7 linked regions of the Callithrix jacchus genome follow. The protein of the gene in region 1 binds, or shares a complex with, the protein of each later gene. Links are inferred from orthologs where the notes say so. Each region holds a gene or a part of one and is shown on either strand. Other genes may lie near its edges.

Region 1 (3,500 bases):
ATATATGCTCATCATCATTAGTCATTAGGGAAATGCAAATTAAAACCACAATGAGCCATGTGTGCTGACTCATGCCTGTCAATCTCAGCACTTTGGGAGGCCAAGGCAGGAGGATCTTTTGAGCCCAGCAGTTCAAGACCAACATGGCCAACATAGTGAAACCCTGTCTCTATTAAAAATACAAAAATTAGCTGGGCCTGGTGGCACATGCCTGTAATCCCAGCTACTTGGGAGGCTTAGGAAGGAGAATCACTTGAACCCAGAAGGTGGAGGCTGCAGTAAGCTGAGATTGTGCCACTGCGCTCCTGGGCAACACAGCCAGACTGTCTCAAAACAAAACAAAACCCCTCCCCCACCCCCCCCCAAAAAACAACAACAAAGAAACCCAGCAGATACCACTTTACACACACTAGGATAGCTATAATAAAAAAAAAAGACAAGCACTAGTGAGGATGTAGAGAAACCGGAACATTTGTACATTGCTTGTGGAAATGTAATATGGAAAGCCACTTTGGAAAACAGTTTGATAGTTGTTCAAAAAGTTAAACAGAGATACCATATGGCCCAGTAATTCCACTCCTAGGTATGTATCCAAGAGAAATGAAAACATACATCCACACGAAAACTTGTACACAAATGTTCATAACATAATTCAAAATAGCCCAAAAGTAGAAAGAACTCAAATGGTTCGACTGATAAATGAATAAGTAAACTGTGGTATATCCATACAATGGAATATTGTTAAGCCATAAAAAGGAATGGAACATAAGAAATGTTACTTGAAAACATTATGCTGGCTGGGCGCAGTGGCCCACGCCTGTATTCCCAGCACTTTGGGAGGCCAAGGCGGGTGGATGACGAGGTCAAAAGATCGAAACCATCCTGGTCAACATGGTGAAACCCCGTCTCTACTAAAAATACAAAAATTAGCTGGGCACGGTGGCATGTGCCTGTAATCCCAGCTACTCAGGAGGCTGAGGCAGGAGAATTGCCTGAACCCAGGAGGCGGAGGTTGTGGTGAGCCGAGATCGTGCCATTGCACTCCAGCCTGGGTAACAAGAGCGAAACTCTGTCTCAAAAAAAAAAAAAAACAACAACAAAAAAACATTATGCTAAGTGAAAGAAGCCAAACAGAAAGGCTGCATATGTGATTCCATTTACATGAAATATCAAGAATAGATAACTCTATGGAGATGGAAAATAAAGTAGTGCTTAGGAGCTAGGGGATAGCAGGGAATGAGTGGGGAGTCACTGCTTAATGGGTATAGAATTTCTTTTCGAGAGTGAATGAAAATATTCTAGAATTAGTGGCAATAGTTGTGCACCTTTGTGAATATGCTAAAAGCCACTGAATTGTACAATTAAAAATACTTTATATCAATCAGGCCCCACAAACACTCTACAGTTTCCATTATAAGGGCCTGGAGGGTCCTCTTTTAAATAATGGAAGGCCTTTTGCCTATGCTCCCTCCGTTCTAAGGCTAATTCAAAAGAGCTCTGTGGAATCTGAAGACTCATATAGGGCAGTATGAAAACCATCTCTCTAAGTCCCAGGGAAATGTTATCACAATAATCAGCAGTATTATCTTAGAAAGCCTTTCATCTATATAGTATTCCTTCAGTACAGCTGTGATACTTTAGCTCCCACTATATGAACAGATTACAAAGAATACGTTTCTCACATGGTCATCAGATGCACTTAGGAGATGTCCACTCAGATTCGAATTCCAGGAGAGACCATAGCCTTCCTTCTGGTGACCTCTTAACCTGAGATCAGGATTACATTCTCCACTTGGGTCTAAGAAAAGAAAAATATTAAGTTATTCTCTGTTTATCAGAAATTGTGAGAATAAATTCTCACTCCTTCATTGAGTGAGCCATTACAGCAACTGCACATGAACAAGATCTGGTCTGACCCATAACCACTTTAAAAAGCTGTTCTCTTGGCTTTGTTTTTAATATCCAACACAAATTGAGCCTCAGAACCATTAAATGATTGGTTTCTTTGGAAAACCTACTACCCTCAACACAAAAACACTGAAAACTATAGCTATCCCACAAATCTGGGAAGTGGTAACCCATCCCCCACCTCCCAATTTTTAGAAGTATTTCTAATACAGCAGGTCTGGTTGCTCACTCCTTGCATGCCTCTAGGGTATCCTGATTCATAAGTGACCCTTGGACAACCTCTGGGAATGTGACCCTCAGAAAGTCCTTCGCGTCACTGACTGATAAAGTTGTGTAAGCCCAGAGCAGTGGGGTATGTCACAGGGACTTGTTAAGACTTGTAGAATTGTTTAGCAAGATTCACAATGCATTTGGCTTCACTGTTGGAGGCCTCACTTTTGTTATCATGGCTAGTCAAAGAACAGGATGCGCCCACGCAAACAGACCTCCACAAAAACCCCCGATTCTGAAACTTAAATGGGCTGCCCTCGATAGAAACATTTAGCAAATGTCCCTGTGGTTTGCTGCTAGAGACAAAGCATGTCCTATGTGGCCCTAGATGGGAAGGACCCACACACCTGTAGCTAACCTCTTTGGACTCCCCCTGATGTGTATCTTTTTCCTCCTACTTTTGCTCTGAATCCTTTGCTGTAATAAATTTTAGCTCTGAGTATAAACTGCTTTTAGGCAGTTCTGGCAAATTCCTTAACTTGAGGATGATTATGGGACCCTCCAAAGCAACTTTTAAATCTTTAAACATTATAAAGTATGCTACTTTGACCTTAAAAACATTACCAGTTTGAATCAAGAAAACTGCTCAAGCAATGGCCTGACTTTACCACATACCTGGTTTAGCAGGGTGCTTTGTATAGTCAAAAACCAACACATCAGAAGATGGTGTTTTTGTCGCAATGATGTGAGGATTCTGCGGCATGTAACGAGCACGGTTTACTTCTCCTTCATGATTGATTTTAATTTCACATTCAATTTTTCCTGTTACAGAACCAAAGCCACCAAATTCTAATGTGAGGAGAAAGAAATAAACACACACACACACAATCAGGATTAAAATTCACAAATCACTTATTTTAATCAACCTAACAGATTTTGACCTGGCAGAATACAACACAAATTGACAAGGCAAAGACAGAGACATACATAGAGAGAGAAAAATCAAAAAAATGTGAGCTCATTTGCCACATCAATTTATTCCCATTTTCATTGAAAAATATTGGTAGCTGCCTTATGCAACTTAATTCGGTTCCACCTTGGATCTAAAACAACTGTCCTCTTTCAGTTATGAAGATGATATATTCACTGAGATTTCAAAGAACCATATAATAAGCAGACCAACAGTTTTTTAGTTCAAATATAACTCATTTGGAAGCGCTGCACTGAATTAGCATCTTATTTTAGGATTCAACAAAACAGGAAAGGTTTTACCCTTAGGAGTATGAACATTCTATGAGTCTAAAGTCAGGAGCATCCGTAAATTAATAAAAAAACCCATGCTAACCCCTACCCATCCCTAAACACACATATGTTGGCCCTGC
Region 2 (4,119 bases), on another chromosome or scaffold:
TACCTGGATTTTGGTGGGATTGGGTGAGGCCTTAGGTGGGCTCCTGGCCCCTGAGTGTCTGGAAATGATGGTATGAGGGAAGCTGGGCTCCAGACATCAGGAGGCTTTTTGCCAGGATACTGCTTTGGCCCAGAAAAGGATTAAGGTGTGTGTGCAAGTGGGGGCGGGGACAGGGAAGCGTGGGTAGCCTGCCTGGCCCTCCCTGCTCGAGGTGTTAGAATAGACTGACAGCGCCTGGAGATGGGGGTGGGAAGAATATGAATATTATGGGATGCCTGGCTTCAAGGGTATAGGGATGGTGGAGTGGAGATGAAGCATTATGGGATGTGACACTGGGTTGTGTTGGGAGTATTATGGTATGTTTGGTTGACCACGGGCGCCTTGCAATTATTATGGGATGTCAGGATGTGGGTAGGAGAGTAAAATTATTATGGGATAGCTTTCCAGTGTTAGAGGAAAAGAGATTAGATGTCTGTCCATCTGTAGGGCGACAGTAGGGCAGTTGATCATTATGGGTTATCTTTTTGATAGAGGGGTACTTATCATAGACTGTGGAACCAGGAGAGGGAAGGCTGGGGGTGTTGTGAGCCTCTAGACCCTAGCCTGCAGGGACTGAGGGCAGCCCCAGGGGGTTAGTTATTATGGGATGTCAGTATAGAAAGTGGGAGACTGATTATTACTGGATGTGTGTGGGAGGAGGCCGAGTGTCCGTTGTTGTAGTATGGGGGGGGGTGAGTTTCTGACTATTATGGGATATCAAACTGGGGGTGGATGGAGGGTGGTTATTATGGGATGTCTGTGGGGGATGGGGATGAGTATTATGGGATATAAGGCATAAGTGCCGGGAGGGCTGCTTATTATGGGATGGCCATGGGGAGGGAGGGGTGATGAATTATTATGGGATGTTAGCATTAGGGCCAAGAGTGAAGAAGTTGGCAAAGGATGGCTATTATGGGATATCTAAGAGGGTTAGTTGCAAAAGGTCTGCAATATCATCAGATGTCAGTAGCCCCTGGCATATATGTGTATGAAATGTGGGGGGGGCGGGGTGTGTGTTTTGTGTATGTGGGGGGAGTGTCCGTGTGTATTATGGGATGGCCAAGAGGTGGGCGGTTGCCCAGGTGACACGCGCGCGCGCGCTCGAAGGGGCGTGGCCAATGGTTGCCTGAGCGACGAGGGGGCGGGGGTTGCCCGGGAGACCTGGGGAGGAGGGTGGCGGTAGTGGGGGGGGGTTGGAGTTGGTTGAGGTTATTATGGGCTGTCCGTGGGGGGGCGGGGCCTGTGCGGTGGGATTTCCCGGCCGGTGTTTCAGGCCCTTTAAGAGGCGACGCCGGAGCCGGAGCCATTTTCCCCCCTTCGGCCGCGGCGAGGAGGAGTCGGAGCGGGAGTGACACCAGGCCGGACCCAGCGCAACCTGCGGCGGCTCCGGGGTGAGGAGAGCGCGGGGTTCCCAAAAAGACGCCCCTCACGGCCGGACCAGCCCGGAGGGTCATCCCGTCACCCGCCCCTTCGTCAAGCGTCCCCCGACCCGCGGACCGCCCCTTGCCCGGAGAAGCCTACCCTTCCTTTCCTGGCCCTGCAGGGCGCCCGGCCTCCTCCCAGCCCCCGCCCTAACCCTGCCAGAGTCTTGCTCCCCGCGACCCTCCGCCTCTGGCTTGGTCTCCCACAATGCCCGGCGCCCGCCCCCTCGCCCTTTGATCACTTGCCCCCCGGGACACACGTGGCCCGGCCCCCTTCCCGGTGGGACGCTCTCGTCCCCCGCGTCCCTGCCTCCGGCCCCCCGCAGTGCCAGAGCCTCCACGCCCCCTCGTCCCCGCACCTCTTGAGGAGAACCTGAGTTGTCCCAGAGGACAGCCTTTGGAGAGCTGCCCTGTCTGGGGACTGGCCCCTCCCCGGGCGCAGGGAGGCGCCCCCCCACCCCCAAGTGACCTTGTGTCCCCGAGCGCCTTGTTGCCTGCCGCCTCCCCTGGCCCGCCCCCCCCCCGCGCCGCTACCACTCGGACCCCCTCCCCCGTCACACCCCGCTCGGTCCAGCGTCTTCCCTCCCCGCGCCTGCACCAGCCTGCCCTCGGAGGCGTCGCTCCCTCGCTCCGTGGGGGCGCCTGCCGGGGAGCCGGCTTCCGGGCTGCCCCCGAGGAGTGTGGAACTAAGTTCAGCCTGAGCGGTTCGGGTGCCCTGCTAGGGTGGCTGAGGTGGGGGGCGGAAAGAGCGGGTGGGTGTGGGGGAAGGGGACAGTGCGCGTCACTGACTGTTCTCTCTTTCTCCCCCCTCCCCCGCACAGTGACTCGGGCCAGTGTAGAGGGCCCCAGGCCGCCGGCAGGAGCAGCTGGGCCAATTCCCTGGCCGGGAGCGGAAGGGGATGGCGTCGGGCCTGGGCTCCCCGTCCCCCTGCTCGGCGGGCAGTGAGGAGGAGGATATGGATGCACTTTTGAACAACAGCCTGCCCCCACCCCACCCAGGTAACATCTTCCCCAAGGGCCCTGGGTGGGAAGGAGGCATTTGGACTCTCCCGAGTGACTTCTCTGGGGAGGCAGGGCTGTGTTGCTCGGCTGTCTCTGTGCAGAGCCGAAGGTGGAGGGCATCCGAAGGGAGTGGTTCCCTTCTGCGGAGCTCTGGTGTGAGGGGGGTGGAAGCCATGTGCCTCCTGGGCACCGCGGACGGAGATGCCAGCTTGCTGCACTCTGTCTTGAGGAATGCTCTGCAGTTCCCAGTTGAGGGAGCTCTCTGGGCTGGCACGCATTACCTTGTGTGTGGGTCCTCGGAGGAATGCAGGTAGTTGGGACCCCTGGAGGCTTGTGGTAGTGGTGGTGGTGGAGGGGGACGTTGAGGATTCTGAGAAGACCAGCCGGGCATCTGTGCTAGTAGAATCTTGTGGTTGCCTCTGTGGAAAGGAAAGAGGGAGTGCTGGTTACGCTCTATCTGATTATTTTTAGCTTCTGATCAGTTACCGGTTTTCTGTGCTGTCTCAACTGTGTGAAGTTTGAATCGCGCTCCTCAGCATGATCTAGAGCGCTTTTAGCCAGGCAGATTGCTGGAATGTTTTGAGTGGGGAAGTGATGGGGGCTTGGAGAGGATGTAATAGCCTAGTGAGGAGAGGCAAAAGAAGGGAGGGCACCCCTCTTCACCTGGCTAGTGGACATAATTCTGGCTTGTTTCCTAGCAGCTTCTGCCTCTGTGAGGTAGCCCGGGGTTTAGGCTGGCAGTGTGAAGTGCCTTGTGTAGGTGTGCTAGAGGTTGCACTATCTGTGTTTTGGGGTGGCTCCGTGAACTGGCCAAACCCGTATGGTTATAACCACCCTGGCTGATTGGGGGAGCCCTTGTCTATTCTCAAATGATGATTGATCTCGCGTTCCTAAGCAGATCTCTTTCTTTTCTGTCTTTCTTCAGAGCCCCTAGCTAAGTCACCTACTTGTTTCCTTGACCTTCATTTTTTCTAGGTTCATTTTTTTTCCTACATGCCACTGCTTCATCACTTCTGCTTCTACTTTTCTTCTCATTCTGGAGCCTGCTGATTCTGTTTTTGTTTCTCATCCAGCGTTCTTCACTCTGCTCTCTTCTTAGCTCCAGTGGAAGTTGCGGTGGTCTGGGAGAGATGCTCTCAAATTTTGCACTTTTTAAGTTGGAAGTCTTTACTTCAACCTGAGGCCATTTAGGAGAGGGGTTAGTCTTGTCATGGAGTCTTCAACTGTTGGGATGAGAAACTTGGTTTCATCCTTGTGTAGGGTAGAGAGGCAGATTTCTGTGCTCTTGCCCAAGGTGAGAGCAGGGTGGTGGTGGTGGTAAGGGGACCCTGTCCTTCTAAGAGGGGCATGAGAAACTGTAGTGCTGCCTAGACATTGTGGGTTCCACATCTTGGCCTCCTATTGGCCCATTGGTCTGGGGCTGCCCTTCATGTTGACTGGGAGCTATGCAGGAGCTGTGAACTCTGTCCTGGGCTGTAGTGTGACCCACTTTTTCCACTTGCCACACCCCATTCCTGTCCCTTTCCCAAATCTTTATCTCAGTCATTTTGCTGTTTGCCGTTTCAGCATATTATTTGCCTGAGAAGTTTGGGGGCTGTATGTGCATGGAAGGATGTCCGCTTTGCCTCCATGGGTTATCTTTGTCTCTACTTCCAGC
Region 3 (3,500 bases), on another chromosome or scaffold:
TGGAGTTTTCGCTTGTTACCCAGGCTGGAGTACAATGGTGCGATCTCAGCTCGCCGCAACCTCCGCCTCCTGGGTTCAGGCAATTCTCCTGCCTCAGCCTCCTGAGTAGCTGGGATTACAGGCACGTATTATGCCCAGCTAATTTTTTGTATATTTAGTAGAGACGGGGTTTCATCATGTTGACCTGGATGGTCTCGATCTCTTGACCTCGTGATCCACCCGCCTCAGCCTCCCAAAGTGCTGGGATTACAGGATTTTTTTGTCTTAAAGCAGAATCCATTTAATAGAGAAATAAAGACATTTTCCCTTTAGTGAAGCAAAGTTCTAAATTCTAGGTTGAAGAGCTATTTGGTTTTAAGTTGTATATTTTATGTAAGAATATCAGATACAAATTTATATATGTACATAAATACTTATAAATATATGTATATAAATATATAAAGATTCCTTGCTTTAAAATTGCCCCTTTTCCCTGAAAAACATTCTGAATGTGTAAACTTATACAAAGCAAAATATTTTATTTGAAGATATGTATTACAGTAAATAGGTGTCCGTTGAAGGCTGAAAACTAAACTTTAACTTTTTTTCAACTTTGTCAGGCTCAGACCTTTGGGTTGCTCTGCCCTCTGCCAAAAGTGCTATTTGAAACTTAGAGTTTCTGAGAAATCTTTGAAGTAGATTTGATACAAGATGTGTAAAGTGATTTGCAATACCTTGTTGAAAGACAGGACATAAGGGAAGTTTTTAAGTTAAAATTATGCATGCTATGAAAATCTTAAAATGATTTTTAAACTGATGGATTATAAATTTCTTTATTTAAAAGTAGTTTTTCTTGACTTTTTAAAAACCTGAACTAACATTATACTATACTGCTTTACTCATCACTGCTTTGGATTTTAATTGCTACACAACACACCTATTACAACCGTCCCTTGTTATGACAGTTTCCTTAGTAGTTGTTGAAATTGTACTGATTCTGTAAAATATGCTTAAGATGACCTCGTCACATTAGCTAGCAATTTCAAGGGAAAATATTTATCAAATAGTACTTTAAAAATAAGCAAAAACAGTTCTATGAAATGCAGTTTATTTGATCTAGAGTGTGAATGAGTTGCAAGGACTGATGTACATATTAGAAATAAACTGTTGAGCAAATTGCTGAAGAGGTATATTTTAAATAATAGCTCTTTTTTATAGCTATAAACAAATTATATATAAATGTTGGTGGTACCAGAGCATTGAAAATAAAACTTGTTTGTGATAAACTTCATTCCTGGTTCTCTATCCTAAAATGTAACTGAATCATAATAAAGTGCTATTCATCTGCAGGTGCATTGCTTCTACTTAGTTAAAAGATGGTTGAAAGGACAGGAATTAGTAGCATGTTGTATTAGCCTTTTGTAGTGTATTTTGTCCTAAGCATCTTAATTTCCCTGTTTTGAATGCTAAGTAGCAAGGGTCTTGGTTTAGAACTAATACCCATCATGCATGTAAACGGTATGAAAGAGCTGCTTAGTAAGTTAACACAAAGTGTTCTTGTGTCAGTCCTTGTGGAAATAGATACAATACAAACATTACAGCTGAACTCACGGCAAACTCCATTAAGTAAAAACCTGGCCTCATTGTTCAGAAAAAAGTTTGAATAGAATACAGGCTCATTTTGTTGAATGTAATGTCGGGCTTTTAGGGACTGTATTGAAGGATACGGTTTTGTTAAGTTGAGACCAATTCATTAAGTTTTATTGCCTGGTGAGAAGCAGCAATACTTTATTGTAAGACTTCATCAAATATTCATGGTTAAAGAGAAGTAGTAAATGTATTCAATCAAGTGGTCTTTTGGGATTTTGAAAAGGATTATGAAGTCTGCTCAGCTGATAATGTTGATCGAGGTTGTTTAACAAGGGTAATTTTAATCTCTGAGTTTAGTTTTGTTGTCCAGTCTTGACTCTTTTTTACTGTCACAAATCCAGGTCTATAAGAATTGTATCACATTCTAAGGATGAAAGAATAATATCCATTCATATAATATATGTTATTTTCTAAGTAGGTATATTTTTAAATTATCATCTTAGTTTGAGTTTGGCATATGAGGGAATTGTGACCCATCTACTTGTTCATTGTGAGATTGCTATTTGGTCAGACTCTAGCCTCTACTGCTGGTGATCTTTTCATTTCTTGGATAATATGATTTCTTTGACACATAAGATAATAAGCAACCTTTTTCCTTGGCCAGTTCAGATTGTCATAAAGGGATATAGTCAGCATTTTCTACATAACGGAAACGTCAATAGCATCGCCTTTGTTATTGTACTTGGTATCAGGCTACCTGCCCACCTGCCTTCTCTTAGTTTTACGTTATGCTCATCTCAGTTTTGTGTGATGCTAGTTTGTGCACAGGAAGCTCATCCTTTTCTAGTTCGGTGTGTGTTTGCTTCTTTAGTTTTCAACCAGAGTTTTCTAATTTGTGTTGGTTTTGTCAATTTTAAAGAAATTAACCATATTCAAAAGTAGAATTTGTTATTAATTTTTTATATCCTTTATCCTCCGTTCTTTAGGCAGATGATGTTGAGGGCAAAATTAGACAAATCATTCCACCTGGATTTTGTACAAACACGAATGATTTTCTTTCTTTACTGGAAAAGGAAGTTGATTTCAAGCCATTTGGAACCTTACTTCATACCTACTCAGTTCTCAGTCCAACAGGAGGAGAAAACTTTACCTTTCAGATATATAAGGTAAAGATAAATCTAAATATTTCTTGAGTAAAGTTATTCTATTTGTCTGAAACCGGTATGTAGTTTTGTTATTTTCAATGATTTATTCTAACTGCAGTAAACAAGTTTTATCAGCATTATAAACACAGATCTATTTTGTGTGTGTGTCTGTGTCCACATCTTAATCTGAGACTTCTAAACATTTTCCCACAGGATAATTTAGTGTTCAGCAGACTTTCACTTACCTTTGTGATGAGTTTCACCTGACTTTTCCTGGCTTTTTCCCTAGGCTGACATGACATGTAGAGGCTTTCGAGAATATCATGAAAGGCTTCAGACCTTTTTGATGTGGTTTATTGAAACTGCTAGCTTTATTGACGTGGATGATGAAAGATGGCACTACTTTCTAGTGTAAGTACAGTTCTAAAGCAACAGTAGACCTTATTACCTCCACAAAGCCAGCATTTTAATTGTGGCAGCCCAATTATTGGGACAGTATAATGATATTTTTCCCAGGAAAGAAAAACTATTGTTTATGAGGCTTGAGTTTTCCTTCATTATGCTTTGGGAGACCTTGAGAATAGAGCTGAATTAAATGCTGTTGTCCGTTAGGGCCCTGAATGTAGGCTTAAACAGTAAAATGAGCTTTGCCTGTGTTTTCTTTTACTTGCCACCTATTCATCTTTATAATAGGCAAGTGCACTGAAGTGATGTAAAGAGGTCTGATTTATCCAAGTTGCTGCACACCAATTAAGTGAATTGTACATTCAGAACATAGCAGGTGTA
Region 4 (3,597 bases), on another chromosome or scaffold:
ATGTTGGCCAGGATGGTCTCAATGTCTTGACCTCGTGATCCACCCTCCTCGGCCCACAATTCTGGGATTACAGGCGTGAGCCACCTCTCCGGGCCGAACTCCTGACCTCAATCAGCCCACCTCCACCTCCCGAAGTGCTGGGATTACAGGCGTGAGCCAACACGGGCCAGAACATGTTTGTTGGATGGATGAATGAATGAACGACTGTCCTGGAGATGAAGATCTACAAAGCTGGGACCATGAAGGTACGTAAGGCCAGAGAAGTTTGAGCTTGGGGAAGGAGCCTGGGAGAAAGGGTTAGTGAGTGGATGAGGGTTTGAAGTCTTAAGTTTGTGGGGAGTGAGATTTGAGGGGAGGCGTCTGAGTGGTGGAATGGAAAGGTATGGGGGCCCTGGAGTGGGACAGGAAGGCGGGGAATGAAACAACAAGCACTTTATGACATTCACTTAATCCACACAACAACCCAATGAGATCGTCATTTTCCCCATTTTACGGATGGGAAAACTGAGGCATACTGAGGCGAGACACTTGCCTGGGGGAAATCGCCAGTGGGGGTGGTGCTGAGATTCAAACCCAGGCGGTTGGCTCCAGACCGTGCTCTTGATCAGTTTGGTACCGGCCCGCCACACAGTAATCTCGCAGGTTTGCCCTACGGCCATTGACACCAGCTGAGGCGGCGGCGCGGGGCCTTGGGGGTGCGGGCAAAGGGGTCTTTGAGGTCGCCCTTGGACCTGACGACCAGCCAAGCCACAGGAAGAGCTGCGCGTGGCGGCACTGAAGTAGGGCCTGTTGCCATGGGAACAAACGCAGGCCTCGGGCGGACGCATGCGCAGATCGGGGAGAGGGTGTTGAACCGGTGAAAGGTGACGTAAAAGCGCACGGGGTGGGGCGCGGGGCTCGGGACGTCAAAGCTCTGCGTCCTTCGGCCCCAGGAGCGGATAGGGACGCACAGCGGCGGCGACAGAAGCGACGGCAGCGGCGACAGCAACCCCTGCTGGGCCGAAACTGGGCAGAGCAGAGCCGACGTCTGAAGCAGCGCGAGTGAAGCGCGAGGGTAGCGCCCGCGTCCGGGAAGACCCCTCGGCGCGAACCGGCGGCCCAGCCCGGGGTCCGGGGCCTCGAGGCCCCGCCTCTAAGGCCTGGGGACTAATCGGATTGAGAGCGCGCCGGCCCGGGCGGCGAACTCGCCAATTGCAGAGGGCGGCAGCCACCGCCCAATCCGGAGCAGACAGGTGCGAGGTCCGGAAGGCGGAGACCAATCGGTGGCGGTTGCGACCTGCTGGGGCAGGTCTCGTCCAATAAGGAGGCTCGAGTGACATCTTCAGGCGCCAATCGGGAGTGAGGGAGCATTCGAGCCCGCTCGCCCTTCCGGCCAGACCTCTATTTACCAGAGGCGTGCAGCCCGCTTGCCAATCAGAGCGCGGCTGAGCGGCCCGGCGGCCAACCCCCGAGGAGCGGCTGGCTGGCGTCCGCCGCGCCCAGGAGTTGGGGATGTCCTACAAACCCATCGCCCCCGCCCCCAGCAGCACCCCTGGCTCCAGCACCCCTGGGCCGGGCACCCCGGTCCCTACAGGTGAGGATCCAGCTCCACCCCTGCTCGCCTGCCGGGCGGTCGAGGTCTCGAAGAGAAGACGGCCTGAGTTCTGCAATACTGGGCCTGCCGCCTACCCCTCGCTGAGCCTCAGTTTGCTGGCCTGTGAAATGGGCGTGGTCATGTAAGGGCTTGTAGGTGGAGCTCAGGGGGAGGGATTTGTCCCTGAAGTTAATCAGCATGGAATGAAGCATCCTTTGGAGGGAATCGGGCGAACGCGGTCCTGGGCTTGGAAAAGCAGGGAGGCGCGTCCCTGCCCAGCGCTGACCTCTTACTCGCGCCTGTTGCTGCAGGAAGCGTGCCGTCGCCGTCGGGCTCAGTGCCAGGAGCCGCCGCCCCTTTCAGACCGCTGTTTAACGACTTTGGACCGCCTTCCATGGGCTATGTGCAGGTGAGTGGGGCCAAAGCCTTGCTTATGGATGGGGACTGGAGTTTCCTTCCCTGCCAGGTGCCTGAGCTCACTGCCCTGTTCTCTTTTGACATAGGCGATGAAGCCACCCGGCGCCCAGGGCTCCCAGAGCACCTACACGGACCTGCTGTCCGTCATAGAGGAGATGGGCAAAGAGATCCGGCCCACCTATGCTGGCAGCAAGAGTGCCATGGAGCGCCTGAAGAGAGGTAAGTGAGGCCAGGCCGCCCTGCCCTGCCCTGCTCCCCTGCTCAGGAAGCCGACACTGCACTATCCTTCATTAGGGAAGTAAGGACATCTGGAGGCCACCCGAGCGACGCCTAGACTAGGGCCAGTATTACTATGCAGAGAGGTATTTTGAATTGAAATTGAGTCCGTTTCCAGGGAAGAGCCTGGGAATTTGTATTTCAACAGGGCCACCTTGAGGATTAGCCAAACCTCTAATCTCATCTCGCCATTATTAGATTTGAATTTCTCTTGCCGAAAGGAAAGGGAGTGGGGAGGCAGTGGTGGTCCTCTGGAGGGCGGAGGTGGGGCTATGGAGGGTTGCTGAGACCCCACCCTACCCCCAGGTATCATCCATGCCCGGGCCCTAGTCAGAGAGTGCCTGGCAGAGACAGAGCGGAACGCCCGCACGTAACAGGAAGCCTCTCGGCCTCAGCGTCTGGACCTTTCCCGGCCACTGCAGAGCACCCGCTTCTCCCTGGCCATCATCCCGAGTTGCACTAACCATCCTGGGCTTCCTGTCCTGTGTCCTTTGGTGGGTGCCCTCCAGGAACCAAAGGGTGGCTCTCACTCCAGGTGGCAGCACTAAGAACGACCCCCCCCACAACAAGAGTTTAGCAGCGAGGTCCCTGTGAGTCGCGCCCATGACCTGCCGACAGTGTTGCCCACCGGAACTTTCTGTGGCCCCCACTGCTCAGCCCCTCCCAGCACTTCTCCCACTTCGTCCCGAGCCTCCCTCTCTCCCAGCAGGGGCTCAGGCCTGGCACCTGCTTGCCTTGTGTCCTGGGCCATAGTGACTCTTTTCTCTGTGTGTCTTTTGCTAAATATGCCCTTTTTATATTAATAAAAGATGATTTGGAGTTGTGCTGTCAGCTCTGAGCCTTTCTGGGTCTGGTTCTTCAGTTAAGCCTGGGTGGGCCAGGCAGAGAAGGAAGAGGAGACTAGGGGTGGGGAGGGTGTGACTGAATGGGGTTTGACTTGCCTCTGTGGGCCACAGGCCTCCTGTGGGACCCAGGCCCTCTCCTGCCCCAGCCCTGGTGCTGAGAGCCCTGGGCCTTCCTGTGGTGCCACCAGGGGGCAGAGCAGGGCCTGGCTGCTTCCACAGCCCTTTGCGCTGTGGGCAGCCTGGGCCTGGAGGGCACTTCCTCTGGATTGGCAGTGATGCCTGGCAGCGTGGAAATGCCAGTTCACGTAAGCCACTCCCTTACACTCCCTAATGCCCTGACAACACCCCAGCCTCTGAATCAGCCCTGAAGGTCTCTGACACCGCAGAGAGAATGCACACTGCTGCTTCCAGCACTGGCCTCAGAGTCAAGCAGAGAGGCTGGCGGGTGCTGCCGTCACCGCCGCAGCACCTGTAGCAGGCTGGGCG
Region 5 (3,500 bases), on another chromosome or scaffold:
GCCACCCTGATGGCATCGATGGGCTAAGGGAAGCTGGGGGTGGGGAGCTGGGGGGACATGGAGGACTGAGCTCTCTGGAGGCTCTGCCTGTACTTGCTGGCTGCTTGCACTTCTTTTATTTATTTTTTTTTTTGAGACAGAGTTTCACTCTTGTGAATGGAGTGATCTCGGCTATGCCCAGCTAATTTTACATTTTTAGTAGAGACAGGGTTTCTCCATGTTGGTTAAGCTGGCCTCGAACTCCCAACCTCAGGTCATCCGCCTGCCTCAGCCTCCCAAAATGCTGGGATTACAGGAATGAGGCACTGTGCCCGGCCAAACAACCACTTTGTTTTTTGCTCATCTGGGATTTGAAAATTGACCTCCTCTTCATTCTAGCACTCTCCCATTGGGCCAGGGCTCAGAGCACCGCTGGGGACTAAGCGGCCTTGAGCGGGCTTCCTCTGGTTCCCCTGAGTGCAGCTGTGGCCTCTCATCTCTGATGAGGTCTCTGGCTTTGTAATTCTCTGCCAGCGACCTGTTGCTGTAGTTCCTTCCCTCTGTTCTCACCCCCAAAGGTGAACTCCCTCAAACATCCCATCTGCTGGCCTCTTTTTCAGCCCCCGGGGCCCAGCAGTTCTGCTTCCTCCTCTCAACCCGGGCAGGTGGCCTGGGTATCAACCTGGCCACGGCGGACACTGTCATCATCTACGACTCGGACTGGAACCCACACAATGACATTCAGGTCTGTGTCACTGCTGCCACCCTCCCAGGGCCCTCTTACCCTGGGCTTCGGGCAGGTTCTCCTGTCCTTCATGCCTTCCTGGACATGACCTCCACACCTCCCCTGGTGCTGTGGGCCTCCCTCCCTCATGGAGTCTTGGCCCCATGAGGGGCCCTGGGAATGAATGGAAGCTTGGGCCCCATCCCTCCAGCTCTGTCCTCGTCCAGAGGAGAAAACAGTCTTGGAGAGGGCAGGGGAAGTGTCCAAGGGCACACCGCAGTTCATGGTGGCCACTGATTCTGGTCTTTCCCATCACCCTCAGGACCAAGGCCATGGAGGGAGGCAGGATGAGGGAGTCCTGGGACCCAGAGGGGCATATATTTTGGAGGGGATGGGGAGCATAGAGTGGGCCTGTCAGAGGTGGGGGGAGGATGAGATGGTGCAAGGGGCAGATGGGGTTGACAAGGAAGGATGGGAGGGATGTGGGGGGCGGGGCTATGGGAATAGAGCTACCCTGACAGCCCTGGCCACCCCACTCGGGGGCTGGGACACACACATCAAACTCTTACACATGTAGGGGAACACATAAAAAGTGATGTCTCTCATTCATGTTTGTGCGCCCGTGGACACACACACATATGCATGGTCACATCCAGATCACCTCATGCAGGGCTGCAGAGTCTGGCACTTCCCTGTATTATACTGGGCAGATGCAGCTCCTTGCTGCCCTCGGAAGGTGGCTGCACATCTCCAGCACATGGTCTTGTGGTTCCATTAGTGGCTCGATCACAGGGAAATGCAGCCCCCTACCTCCCCAGGGCCCCCATGAAGCTCTGTGTGATGTCAGTTACACCTAGCACACTGGCTGTGTCATCCCTCACACACTGTTGCACACCTGCAGTCCTGGCTGCTTCCACTGGGAGCTTTTCCACTCCCAACCCAGCCCAGCACCCTGGCTCGTGGGAGGCTTCGCAGTCTGGGAGGGAGCCCAGCTGCAGTGGTGCAAGCCTGCACCACATGCCTCTCCCTACCCAGTCATGCAGCCCATTCCATGCTCTTGAGCTCATGGGTGTGACCCCCTCCATTGCCTGGAGCCTGGGTGAGCCATGGGTGCTGAGCTGCAGGTCTCCCCAGGCCTTCAGCCGTGCCCACCGAATTGGGCAGAACAAGAAGGTGATGATCTACCGCTTCGTGACTCGGGCCTCAGTGGAGGAGCGCATCACGCAGGTAGCCAAGCGCAAGATGATGCTCACCCACCTGGTGGTGCGGCCTGGCCTCGGCTCCAAGTCGGGCTCCATGACTAAGCAGGAGCTGGACGACATCCTCAAGTTCGGCACGGAGGAGCTCTTCAAGGATGACGTGGAGGGTGGGCCTCTGTCCCGAGGGAGTGTGGTGGGGCCTGGGGTCATGCTGCTGAGGCACCCATCCAGGGCTTGATGGGGTCCCTGCCCATTCCAACACTCTTCCTCTCTCTTGCACCCCCACTGGTGTCTCCTGGCCAGGGCAGCCCAGGGTGGTGTCTCTGGGCACTGCCCGCCAATCCTGCAGCCCTCTGTGCTCCTGCACCAGCGCCCTCCTCCTCTGCCCAATAGGCATGATGTCTCAGGGCCAGAGGCCGGTCACACCCATCCCTGATGTCCAGTCTTCCAAAGGGGGAAACTTGGCTGCCAGTGCAAAGAAGAAGCATGGTAGCACCCCACCAGGTAGGGGCCAACCCAGCCCAACCCCAGCTCCTCCTCCAACCAGGAGGCTGCTCCTGGAGAGGGGTTCCCCGACACACCCTCACTTGGGTGTCTTGGGACTGCTGGGTGGGCGGGGAATGGGGCTGTTACAGCGTGATTTCCTCTTTCGGGTCAACAGGCCCCTCAGCTGCAGCCCCTGGGATGGGAAGGGCCATTGTTGGGAGCCTGTTCCCAGGTCCCCAGGATGGACCAGGGCAGTCTTTGTCCCCACACTGCACTTGCCTTCTCCCCAGGTGACAACAAGGATGTGGAGGACAGCAGTGTGATCCACTATGACGATGCGGCCATCTCCAAGCTGCTGGACCGGAACCAGGACGCCACAGACGACACGGAACTACAGAACATGAACGAGTACCTGAGCTCCTTCAAGGTGGCGCAGTACGTGGTGCGCGAGGAGGACGGCGTGGTAAGGTCCCCGGCCCGCCCTCCAGCCGCAGCCCCGCCCTCCACCGTGACCACGCCCTCCCCTGTGATCCCGCCGTGCCGCCGCAGTCCCGCTCCTGCCTCCGCCCCGCCCTCCAGCCTCCGCCCCGCCGCAGCCTCAGCCCCGCCCTCCACGCTTTAGCTCCGCCCTCCAGCCTCAGCCCCGCCCCAGCCGCAGCCCCCCTCCACACTGTGACCCCGCCCTCCACGCTGTAACCCCGCCCTCCAGCCTCAGCCCGGCTTTCCCTGCTGTTACCAAGGCGTCCCGGCCGCCGCAACCGCGGGCTCAGCACTAGACACAACAGAGGGAAGGGACGGAGGCAGTGCTGAGGGCAGTACAGCCACATGGGCCGGCCACTGCCCTTGCACACATCTTCAGCCTCCTGCTCCCTGGCGTCGTCCTAGCTCCAATCCAGCTTCCCCACTTTCTGAAGTGCAAGCTGACCTGCCACCCCGCTGTGCAGAGCCCTGTCCCCCGGGTCCAGTGTCAGTCCCTTCCCGGCGCGGTGTGCCCTCCCGCCCCTGCCTCAAGGCCTACATGTCCGCCCTGCACCTGGACCGCTAGTGTTCCAGAACGCCCCGCACTTTTCTTTCTTTAAATAGAGTCTCGCTCTGTAGCCCAGGCTGTAGTG
Region 6 (4,215 bases), on another chromosome or scaffold:
TCCTACTTTTATACCAAGTAGTGGAACAGTGGCAAGATATGGAATGGTACAGCCATCTTAGAAATTTACCAGCTATAACTGTTGAGGTATCATTGAATTTGCTAATCCATATTTAAATCATTTTAAAAGAATGATGGGGAGCATCCCAATAAACAATCCAATTACATGGTCACTACATCCTTCCGTTTTAGCCCCAAAACCTACCTCAATTTACTCCAATAAAGAACTCATGAATTATAACAAAATGACTTTTCAATTAAAAGATCTACTACCCTCTCACCCTTTCCCTTCCTTTTATTTTTGTAAAGGGATCATCAATATCAACATTTAATCAAATTAAGTAGATACTAAGTATCCAGATGATTCATAAAGTTCTTTCCAGTTGCCTGAGTGTAATAGTTGCACCTAAAAGATACCTAGTTTTCAGAAGTAAATAACTAGGAAAAACTTGGAACTTGTTCACCTTGACAACTAGTTTTCTCTGTAATCATTCCCTCTTAAAGTGGGAGAAAAACACCTTTCAAAGCTGCTCACATGAATATAAATACATCCTGTTCACTTTGCAAATTCCTTTGTCAAATTATTTCCCTACATTTTTCATATTTCCTTAATTCATTTAACCATATTTAAAACCTCTATTCTCTAGCGACTACCAATGTAGGTGCTAGGTATACTTAAAAAAAAAAAAAAAAAAAAAGAAAGAGCCTCAGGGAGGCACTTTGACTGTAGGGAAGAGAGGGATGCATAAACAAGTGATTACAATATAATTGAGTCATGCTACAATAAAATATGATCCAAGCCCTGTGGGAACACAAGAGTGGGAATTCAGGGAAGACCTCCAGAGGGTAAAGTATCATCTGACCATGAACCTTTCTCTGAATTTAATGAATTTCTGCTCTTCACTTATGCTCTACCTAAAAGGTTTCACCTACCCATATAGAATCTATCAGGATTACAGAAAATTTGTCATTTATACTGACATAAAGACTTCAAGGCTAATCCATAAATAATTTCTAATTAATTGCAGAATATATTATATTGGAGGATTTCTTCTTGCTGGTTTCTAAAGAGATCAATTTTCTCAATCATTGTTCATGTAAATGGTAATACTGAAATAAATTCACACTCCTTAAGCATGCTACCTCAAATGAAGAAAGATATCCTGGGAAAATTCCAGTATGACTTGAAGAAATTTGCCTAAAAATTTTAAATGCTAACATAAAGATATTCACTTATATGTATATGTGCAAGGTAAAGCTAGGTAACAAAGTATCAGAACTTTTTCTAACTACACTAGACTAACAGTGTGTTTTTTTTTTTTAAATCACTGCTACTTAAACTGACTAAATACATTCTCAAGTTGTACCAGAAAATAATTTAAAATGAATTTTTAAATCAATTACCCAAAGAGATGTTTTTCAAAATATCTCAAGGCAAGTACAAAGAATAGTAATTATCAAATACAGAATATGCAAGGGCAAAAGTTAGAAATTTTTATCCTAGACCACACGTGGTAGCTCCCATCTGGAATCCCAGCACTCTGGGAGTCTGAGGCAGGCACATCACTTGAGGTCAGGAGTTTGAGACCAGCCTGGCCAACATGGCGAAACTCCCTCTCTGCTAAAAATATAAAAATCAGCTGGGCATGGTGGCACATGCCTGTAGTCCCAGCTACTCCAGAGGCTGGCAGGCAAACATCTTAAACCCAGAAGGCAGAGACTGCAGTGAACACAGATCGGGTCACTGCACTCCAGCCTGGACAACAGAGCAAGGCTCTGTCTCAAAAAAGAAAAAAAAAATTATCCTAAAATATCTGAATCTCTGCCAAAAATCTTCATAACTAGCTCATCTCATAAGGGACAGGAGTGTTAGGATTTTTTAAACACAGAATTATTAGTAGCTAACATAAACATTACTTTTTGGTTATGTCTCAACACTTAGACGAGCACCTAGAATGCCTGTATAGGGGTGTCAACACTCTCCAAAATATATGTAATAAATTTCTACTGCATTTGCCTCCATTTTTGTGAAACCATAAGTAAGTAGATGTACATTAGATCTTTATCAGATAGGACGGTGGAACCAAAAGAACGCCTATGTTTTTCTAACTTCTTTTCTTGGAATATATTCACCTTCCACAAAAATGAGAATTTAAGATGCTATTTCCCTGTTTCCGGGAAACCTCAAATATTACATAATCCAGCACACCTCCAAAAAGAGAAAACAAGATGCTTTATATCTATGACTAGAATCCTAACTATTCCTAACTTTAGAGACCATAAATAGGAAACTAAAATACATCTTAAATACTTTTGTTTTATTGCAAATAAAATTACAAATCAACAAGTTAGGATTACACACTTGATCCATATTCCTAAATATGAATTAGTTGCTAATGCTTATGAAGAGTTAATAGAAAATAAACTCCAAAACCTCTAGAATTATAGGCTACATTCAACTACGACAACATTCGTGTTTTTCAAAGGTTTATCAAATGTTATTTTATGTGACATCAAAAGGCCACAAAATAATGACTTGCTTGAAACATAAAAAACAAGCCTTTAAGTAAATAGCAAAGACACATTTTTATTTCCAAATGAATTTAAATTTTACAGAACCTGAGTGATAAACAAAGGAAGTTGAACTGCGGACAGCACACGTTAAATTTCTTAGGCAACAAACATTTCTGCATCCAGTCTTTTCTGAATCACCAAAGCTATTGTTCACAGAAAACAAGAACAATTAATAAGAAACTGCTAACCATATAATCCAAATGCACATTTGTCATAGGTATTCTATCACCTACTTCCACCTCCTCATACTCATTCAACCCATTGGGATTTGGGGAATAATCGTTGGCTGAATGGCAGTTGATTTCGTTAGCACCTGTCGCCATTCTCAGATGTATCACACAAGTTGGCCAAAACAGCTTGTAATTTTTTTTAAGGATTACGATTCTTTAGAAAGTGGGAACTCATTAAGCGTTCACCGAGTTTTCCAAAAGATCATGCTTCTCGATTCCTCCCGCTTTCAAAAAGTAACCCTGTGGTACAGATTTCTGGGGGCAGTGGAAGGCGATGTACACAATGAAGTGGCAATTCAACAGGAAACATTCCAAAAACACAATCAAGAGACAGCAGAGCAGCTCGACTCTTCCCTCAAACTTAGCATAAAGCCAGACCAGGCGGCGAGGGCAGCCCGCGACCGCCGGAGCTAAGGGGGTTTCGGGCTGCGTTCTGGGGAAAAAACCGAGGCGAAGCTACTCCGAGTTCCCCACCGCGAAAGCCGTCCCGCAGCCGCCGCAGCCCCAGCCGGGGGTCGGCGCGCCCGGGGCCGGGGGCGTGCGCCAGGCGGGGGCCGAGCCCTGCCCACCCTGGCCGCGGCCCGCGCCTCCCCACGCCCCTCTCCCGCCCGCCGGCGGGCCGGGGTGTCATGCCCCTTCCCTCGCGCCGAGCCCTCTGGAGACACAGTCCGTCCTTTGTCTGAGTGCCGGCTCGGCTGCTGGGTCCCACTAACTTGTGTCTGTCCCGTCCCACCCGGGCGCTCCCGCCGCGGCCGCGCCACACAAAGGAGACTTAAAGCTCGAGCTGCCACCCTGGACTGGGTACCGGAACGCCCCGACCCCAGCCCTGGCGCCCCGGTCAGGGCAAGCACCGGGAAAGGAGCCCCCCGCACGCCCCCCCACCCCCGCAGCTCTGGGGGTCCGCGCTGCCCCCCACTCGCGGGGTCCCGCGGGCCAGCCCGAAGCTCACAGCTCCTTCCGGGGGGGTTTCCCCTCACCCTCCAAGCCCCGCACGCCTACAAACGCGGCGCCCCTGTGAGCCCCGCTCTGGCGATACCCCGGACCGGCACAGCGGCGGCTGGGAAGTCTTGGCGCCGCCGCCGCCGCCCGGTTAGCACTCCCGGAGCCCTGCCGGCCGGGCCGCCCGCTGGGGCGCGTTACCTTCTTCCCGCGCGCCGGCTCGCGTCGTTCCCGCGCGTCGCTCTCGCGCGCCGCCGCCGCTGCCGCCGCCGTCGCCGCCGGGGCTCCACTGCCTTCTGTGTCCCACAGGGTGTCCGACGCGACCGGACCGAGCGCCAAACGCGACAGCCCAATCGCCATCGCTTTTATTTGGCCCCCCCAGCCCAATCAAGCGCCGCCCCGATTGGCGGGACGCGAGGCGGGCACCCGTCCAATCACAGGGCCCGCCGAGCTCGAAGGCGCCGAGCCAGCCC
Region 7 (4,003 bases), on another chromosome or scaffold:
TATAATGAAGACCAACAAGTGATTTCTCAAGGTAAAAATTATTACCATAAAAGGTGTACTAGGCCAGGCACGGTGGTTCACACCTGTAATCCTAGCACTTTGGGAGGCCAAGGTGGGCAGATCACGAGGTCAGGAGTTTGACATCAGGCTGGCCAACACGGTGAAACCCCATCTCTACTAAAAATACAAAAATTAGCCAGGCATGCTGGCAGGTACCCGTAATCCCGGCTGCTCAAGAGGCTGACAGGAGAATCGCTTGAGCCCAGGAGGTGGAGGTTGCAGGGAGCCATGATCGTGCCATTGCACTCCAGCCTGGGCGACAGAGCAAGACTCCGTCTCAAAAACAAAAAGATGAGCTAAAATTAAGTTGGCAAGAATTTACCTGTAGTCCTTTCTACATCTAAGACATAAATACCTGACACTTGATTCATTCCCTTCATTCTCCACATAGTCCCCCCCAACCCTCACAAGCCAGGCAACCATTCTGACCATCAGGCAAAATAAATTACCTTTTTTCACTTTGTTAGGACAACTCATGTGGGTTTACATTTGGCTTAATATAATACTACTCTACTTCTCCAATAAGTAAGCATTTATAAAAAACAGAAACTTCTCAATTTAACCACTTCTACTATCCGAGTCTCTCTGAGAAAGACATGACACACCTTAATTCAAGGAAAAAAGGTCCTTTTTCCTCACAAATATTTCCTCATAAACTTTATTTTTCAAATGCTTTTAAAACCAGATTCTAATTTAATTAATCTAGATTTGCAAAATTATAAAGGAAAAGTCTTGCCAGTTGTTGCTTTGGTTATGTTAATTTCACAATTTAGTAAATTTCAACTACCTATTTAATACAAAGCAGTCTTTTGGAAGAGGGTGAGGGGTTTTTAACAAAATGCATCTCAGCACCAGCCTGGAGAAACTTTTTGTGAGAAAACAGAAGAGGGGTTACCATGGAGAAATTCATTACGGATTTCTGTGAGGGCTTTTTCCTCAGAAATAGAGTGAAAAGAAAAAGTCGTCGTGTAATAAATCTGATACTGATGCTACATGACTTAGAAAAAAGTTCATCTTCGGCAATTATGTCTAGAGGATCAACTACACATCTTGTGCAACAGGTGACACGAAACTGCATTTCCCAAGCCAGGCAAAGCGATCAAATGAGTTAAGACAAGCGTTCCTGCGGTTTTGTACTTTTATTTTTGACTTAACCAAAACAATTTTGAATCGGATGAATTACCAAATTTGGTTGGGTCTTGTTTGGCTTTCTATTTTGCTTTTTCATCAGCCATTTACCAGCAACTGTTGCATGAGCCCATTGGCACTCGAAGAATAAAAACAAACACGCAGGACCAGATAAAGTTCCCCTACTAACCCAAATGATCCATTTCCTTAACACAATTTTAAAACCACAGCTAGGGGTGTGAAAACAGGCATGTTTTTGTGTGTGTTTGTGTGCCACAATCTGCCCAAATCCTTAATTCCCTTTTAAGTAACAGATATATAATAAAAATCTGAAAGAAACCATATTAGAAATGCAAAGAGGTTTGCAAAACAAGAGGCTTCTTTCATTCCAGAAAACCACACCAAAACAAGGGAAGAAAAATGAATGCAATGGATACGTGTCTGCCAAAGTTTCAATCCTGCCCGGTGGAGACATCGCACTGGCACAAATTTTGAAGAGGAAAAAGAGGGGGTTGGGGGGAGAGAGAGCAAGCGAGTGTGGCCTGCAAACTGCAACAATGCAATCTCCATTTTGAACAATGCGCCTCTTTCCTCTTGTAAATCTAGTTTTTTGCCACTTGATGTGCCGTCGCATTTCCCCTCTGTTTGGGGGGAAGGCGGGGTTGGGGGGAGATCGGAGCAGGATGCACAGCACACGAGTGAGGAAGGGGGGAGGGCAGAGGAGGTGGGGAAGGAGTCTGCAGCAACTGGGCTGGGTGGGTACCTGGAGTGCTGCTGTAGGTACTATGGCTCCTGAAGCTGCTTTCCGTGCAGTAACTGGCGTCGTCGTCGTCGTCTTCCATCTCCTCCGGATAATCGGAGTCATCGTCGTCCTCCTCCATCTCATCCTCCTCGTCGTCCTCAGAATCTTGGGTCTCCTCGGCGTCGCCGTCCTCCTCCTCCTCCTCCTCCTCCTCGGAGACCATGTCCTCCTCTTCCTCCTCCTCCTCGCTCTCGTGGTCATCGTACACCACTTTGTTGACGGCCCTCCGGGCCGCGGTGGTCCGGGCCAGGTGGCCGCCGCCGCCCCCGCCCCCCGTCCTGCCTCCCCCGCCTCCTCGCCCCCCCCGGCCCGGGGCGCTGGTGCTGGGGGGGGCCGGCGGCGGCTGCGGCTTCCTCCGGCTACTGCTGCCCCCCCTGGGCGAGCTCAGCCGCGTCTTGGGCGCCACCTCAGCCTGGGCGGCGGCCCACCTGCCCCGACTACTGCCGCGGTGCCGCGAGCGGAGCCCCCCGATGGGTCCGGACGTGGGCGGCGGCGGCGGCGGCGGCGGCGGCGGCGGGGCCGGGGCGCAGCGCTCCGCAGCGGGAGCCGCGGGCTGCTTGGGCGGCCTGCCCCGCCGGCCCCTCATGTCGGAGCCGAGGCGGGGGGGAGAAGGGAAAGCGGAGGGGGAGGGGCGGGCGCAGGGGGGGCGGTGGGGAGCGCCGGGGCCGGGTGGGGAAGCCCGCGGGGCCGGGCGGGAGGGGCCCAGCCGGCGGAAGCGGGTGGAGGGAGAAGGCTCAATCCGAATTGCTGGGGCCCCACTCCGGATCGCCTTCAGCCGCCATCTTGTTTCTTCCCTCTCGCTCGGTGACTGGGGGAACCGACAGCGGCCGCAGGCCCGGAGCGCGGTCACGTGAGCTGCGCCGCCGACGAGCCTGGACGGAGCGAGGCGGCGCAGCGGCCGCTAGGGGGAGCGCGGGAGCGCCGAGTCGGGGGCGGGGAGCACGGGGCTTCTGGGTTCGGCGCAGCTAGGCGCAGCTGGACTTCGGGCGCGGGTGGCGCGGCAGAGACGGGTGCGCAGCTCGCGAAATGCCCCTGTGTCAAAGGCCTTCGGAGACCATAGTCTCCGCGGACCCCTGGCTGGAGGCCAAAGCCTGCCGGACCTCCTCCCCGCGTCTCCCCTTCCGCGGCTCGGAGAGAAAGGCAGGAGAGCCCCCAAATATCATTCCCCTCCCGGCCCCCTAGGGAAACTGATGCTGAAAGAGCCAGAGAAAAAGAAAAAAAGGTATAGGAGCGGGGCGGCCGAACGACCGAGGACACTGGGCAGCGCCACCGACGAAGGGAAATTCCTAGAATTTAGGAAACTCCTTACCTGGGAGCTGGAGTCCTGAAATTGACTCGAATGACAACTGCTCCACGCTGTGCCAGGAGCCACGCCCGGAGGGAGGGGCACTTTAAGGCCTATTCCGTGGAACCCCCACTCGGAAAGCCTCAGGAAACTCCAGAACGCAACTACTGCACGTTCCAGTCTCCCGCCACCCTCCCAGTGCCCCAGCTAGGACCGCTACCACCTCAGCAGGAACTTCCCTCTCCTCTGCAGTGTAAAACGAAATCCTGCCTAAAAACCTACTTCACGGTGTTATGTTTGTATTATCGGGAAATAACCTTGATTTATTTATCTGACAAGTCACTAAGTTTCAGCTTAGCCCAGGGGACGAATCATGATGACATTTCAGGCACCCTCAAACCTTATCACAGGGACTCAACCGTGAGTGGTTGAGGGCAGCTCTTCAGATAAGAGGTTTTATAAACTTATATGAATATTTGAGATAAGTGACAACCAAAAAGTAATTTAAAGAAAAATAGTTGGCCTGGCTCGGAAACTCATACCTGCAATCCCAGCCCTTTGAGAGACGGAGGCCGGAGGATAGCTTGCGGTCAGCAGTTCGAGACAACCCTGGGCAACATATCAGGACCTCGTCTCTAGAAAAAAATTGAAAAATTAGCCGGGCATGGTGGTGTGCACCTGTGGTCCCAGCTACATGAGAGGCTGAGATGGGGGGGATCGCTGGAGCC

What was found.
Region 2: RBBP7 (region 1) and CHD4 share a complex: the UniProt entries of both Homo sapiens proteins name them as parts of the nucleosome remodeling and deacetylase (NuRD) repressor complex. The link is inferred for Callithrix jacchus from reciprocal best matches to the Homo sapiens genes RBBP7 and CHD4.
Region 3: RBBP7 (region 1) and HAT1 share a complex: the UniProt entries of both Homo sapiens proteins name them as parts of the type B histone acetyltransferase (HAT) complex. The link is inferred for Callithrix jacchus from reciprocal best matches to the Homo sapiens genes RBBP7 and HAT1.
Region 4: RBBP7 (region 1) and CDK2AP2 share a complex: the UniProt entries of both Homo sapiens proteins name them as parts of the nucleosome remodeling and deacetylase (NuRD) repressor complex. The link is inferred for Callithrix jacchus from reciprocal best matches to the Homo sapiens genes RBBP7 and CDK2AP2.
Region 5: RBBP7 (region 1) and CHD5 share a complex: the UniProt entries of both Homo sapiens proteins name them as parts of the nucleosome remodeling and deacetylase (NuRD) repressor complex. The link is inferred for Callithrix jacchus from reciprocal best matches to the Homo sapiens genes RBBP7 and CHD5.
Region 6: RBBP7 (region 1) and EZH2 share a complex: the UniProt entries of both Homo sapiens proteins name them as parts of the PRC2/EED-EZH2 complex. The link is inferred for Callithrix jacchus from reciprocal best matches to the Homo sapiens genes RBBP7 and EZH2.
Region 7: RBBP7 (region 1) and BPTF share a complex: the UniProt entries of both Homo sapiens proteins name them as parts of the BPFT-SMARCA1 complex. The link is inferred for Callithrix jacchus from reciprocal best matches to the Homo sapiens genes RBBP7 and BPTF.

Annotation. Positions count from the first base shown.
Region 1 is NC_133524.1:17,115,702-17,119,201, forward strand, and holds part of RBBP7 (histone-binding protein RBBP7), read right to left. Parts: intron 2,968-3,500; coding exon 2,794-2,967; intron 1,799-2,793; coding exon 1,683-1,798; intron 1-1,682. UniProt on the Homo sapiens protein: Core histone-binding subunit that may target chromatin remodeling factors, histone acetyltransferases and histone deacetylases to their histone substrates in a manner that is regulated by nucleosomal DNA.
Region 2 is NC_133510.1:20,794,844-20,798,962, reverse strand, and holds the start of CHD4 (chromodomain-helicase-DNA-binding protein 4), read left to right. Parts: upstream 1-1,319; 5' UTR 1,320-1,430; exon of another isoform or gene 1,431-2,192; intron 2,193-2,281; 5' UTR 2,282-2,359; coding exon 2,360-2,459; intron 2,460-4,119. UniProt on the Homo sapiens protein: ATP-dependent chromatin-remodeling factor that binds and distorts nucleosomal DNA. Acts as a component of the histone deacetylase NuRD complex which participates in the remodeling of chromatin.
Region 3 is NC_133507.1:57,562,135-57,565,634, reverse strand, and holds part of HAT1 (histone acetyltransferase type B catalytic subunit), read left to right. Parts: intron 1-2,555; coding exon 2,556-2,735; intron 2,736-3,003; coding exon 3,004-3,125; intron 3,126-3,500. UniProt on the Homo sapiens protein: Histone acetyltransferase that plays a role in different biological processes including cell cycle progression, glucose metabolism, histone production or DNA damage repair. Coordinates histone production and acetylation via H4 promoter binding.
Region 4 is NC_133511.1:124,584,843-124,588,439, reverse strand, and holds CDK2AP2 (cyclin-dependent kinase 2-associated protein 2), read left to right. Parts: upstream 1-1,411; 5' UTR 1,412-1,491; coding exon 1,492-1,573; exon of another isoform or gene 1,574-1,715; intron 1,716-1,884; coding exon 1,885-1,982; intron 1,983-2,076; coding exon 2,077-2,209; intron 2,210-2,572; coding exon 2,573-2,640; 3' UTR 2,641-3,097; downstream 3,098-3,597. UniProt on the Homo sapiens protein: Acts as a component of the histone deacetylase NuRD complex which participates in the remodeling of chromatin.
Region 5 is NC_133508.1:44,024,462-44,027,961, reverse strand, and holds part of CHD5 (chromodomain-helicase-DNA-binding protein 5), read left to right. Parts: intron 1-599; coding exon 600-724; intron 725-1,837; coding exon 1,838-2,069; intron 2,070-2,295; coding exon 2,296-2,406; intron 2,407-2,678; coding exon 2,679-2,851; intron 2,852-3,500. UniProt on the Homo sapiens protein: ATP-dependent chromatin-remodeling factor that binds DNA through histones and regulates gene transcription. May specifically recognize and bind trimethylated 'Lys-27' (H3K27me3) and non-methylated 'Lys-4' of histone H3.
Region 6 is NC_133512.1:98,835,246-98,839,460, reverse strand, and holds the start of EZH2 (histone-lysine N-methyltransferase EZH2), read right to left. Parts: upstream 2,801-4,215; 5' UTR 2,693-2,800; coding exon 2,619-2,692; intron 1-2,618. UniProt on the Homo sapiens protein: Polycomb group (PcG) protein. Catalytic subunit of the PRC2/EED-EZH2 complex, which methylates 'Lys-9' (H3K9me) and 'Lys-27' (H3K27me) of histone H3, leading to transcriptional repression of the affected target gene.
Region 7 is NC_133506.1:90,441,276-90,445,278, forward strand, and holds the start of BPTF (nucleosome-remodeling factor subunit BPTF), read right to left. Parts: upstream 2,801-4,003; 5' UTR 2,577-2,800; coding exon 1,952-2,576; intron 1-1,951. UniProt on the Homo sapiens protein: Regulatory subunit of the ATP-dependent NURF-1 and NURF-5 ISWI chromatin remodeling complexes, which form ordered nucleosome arrays on chromatin and facilitate access to DNA during DNA-templated processes such as DNA replication, transcription, and repair.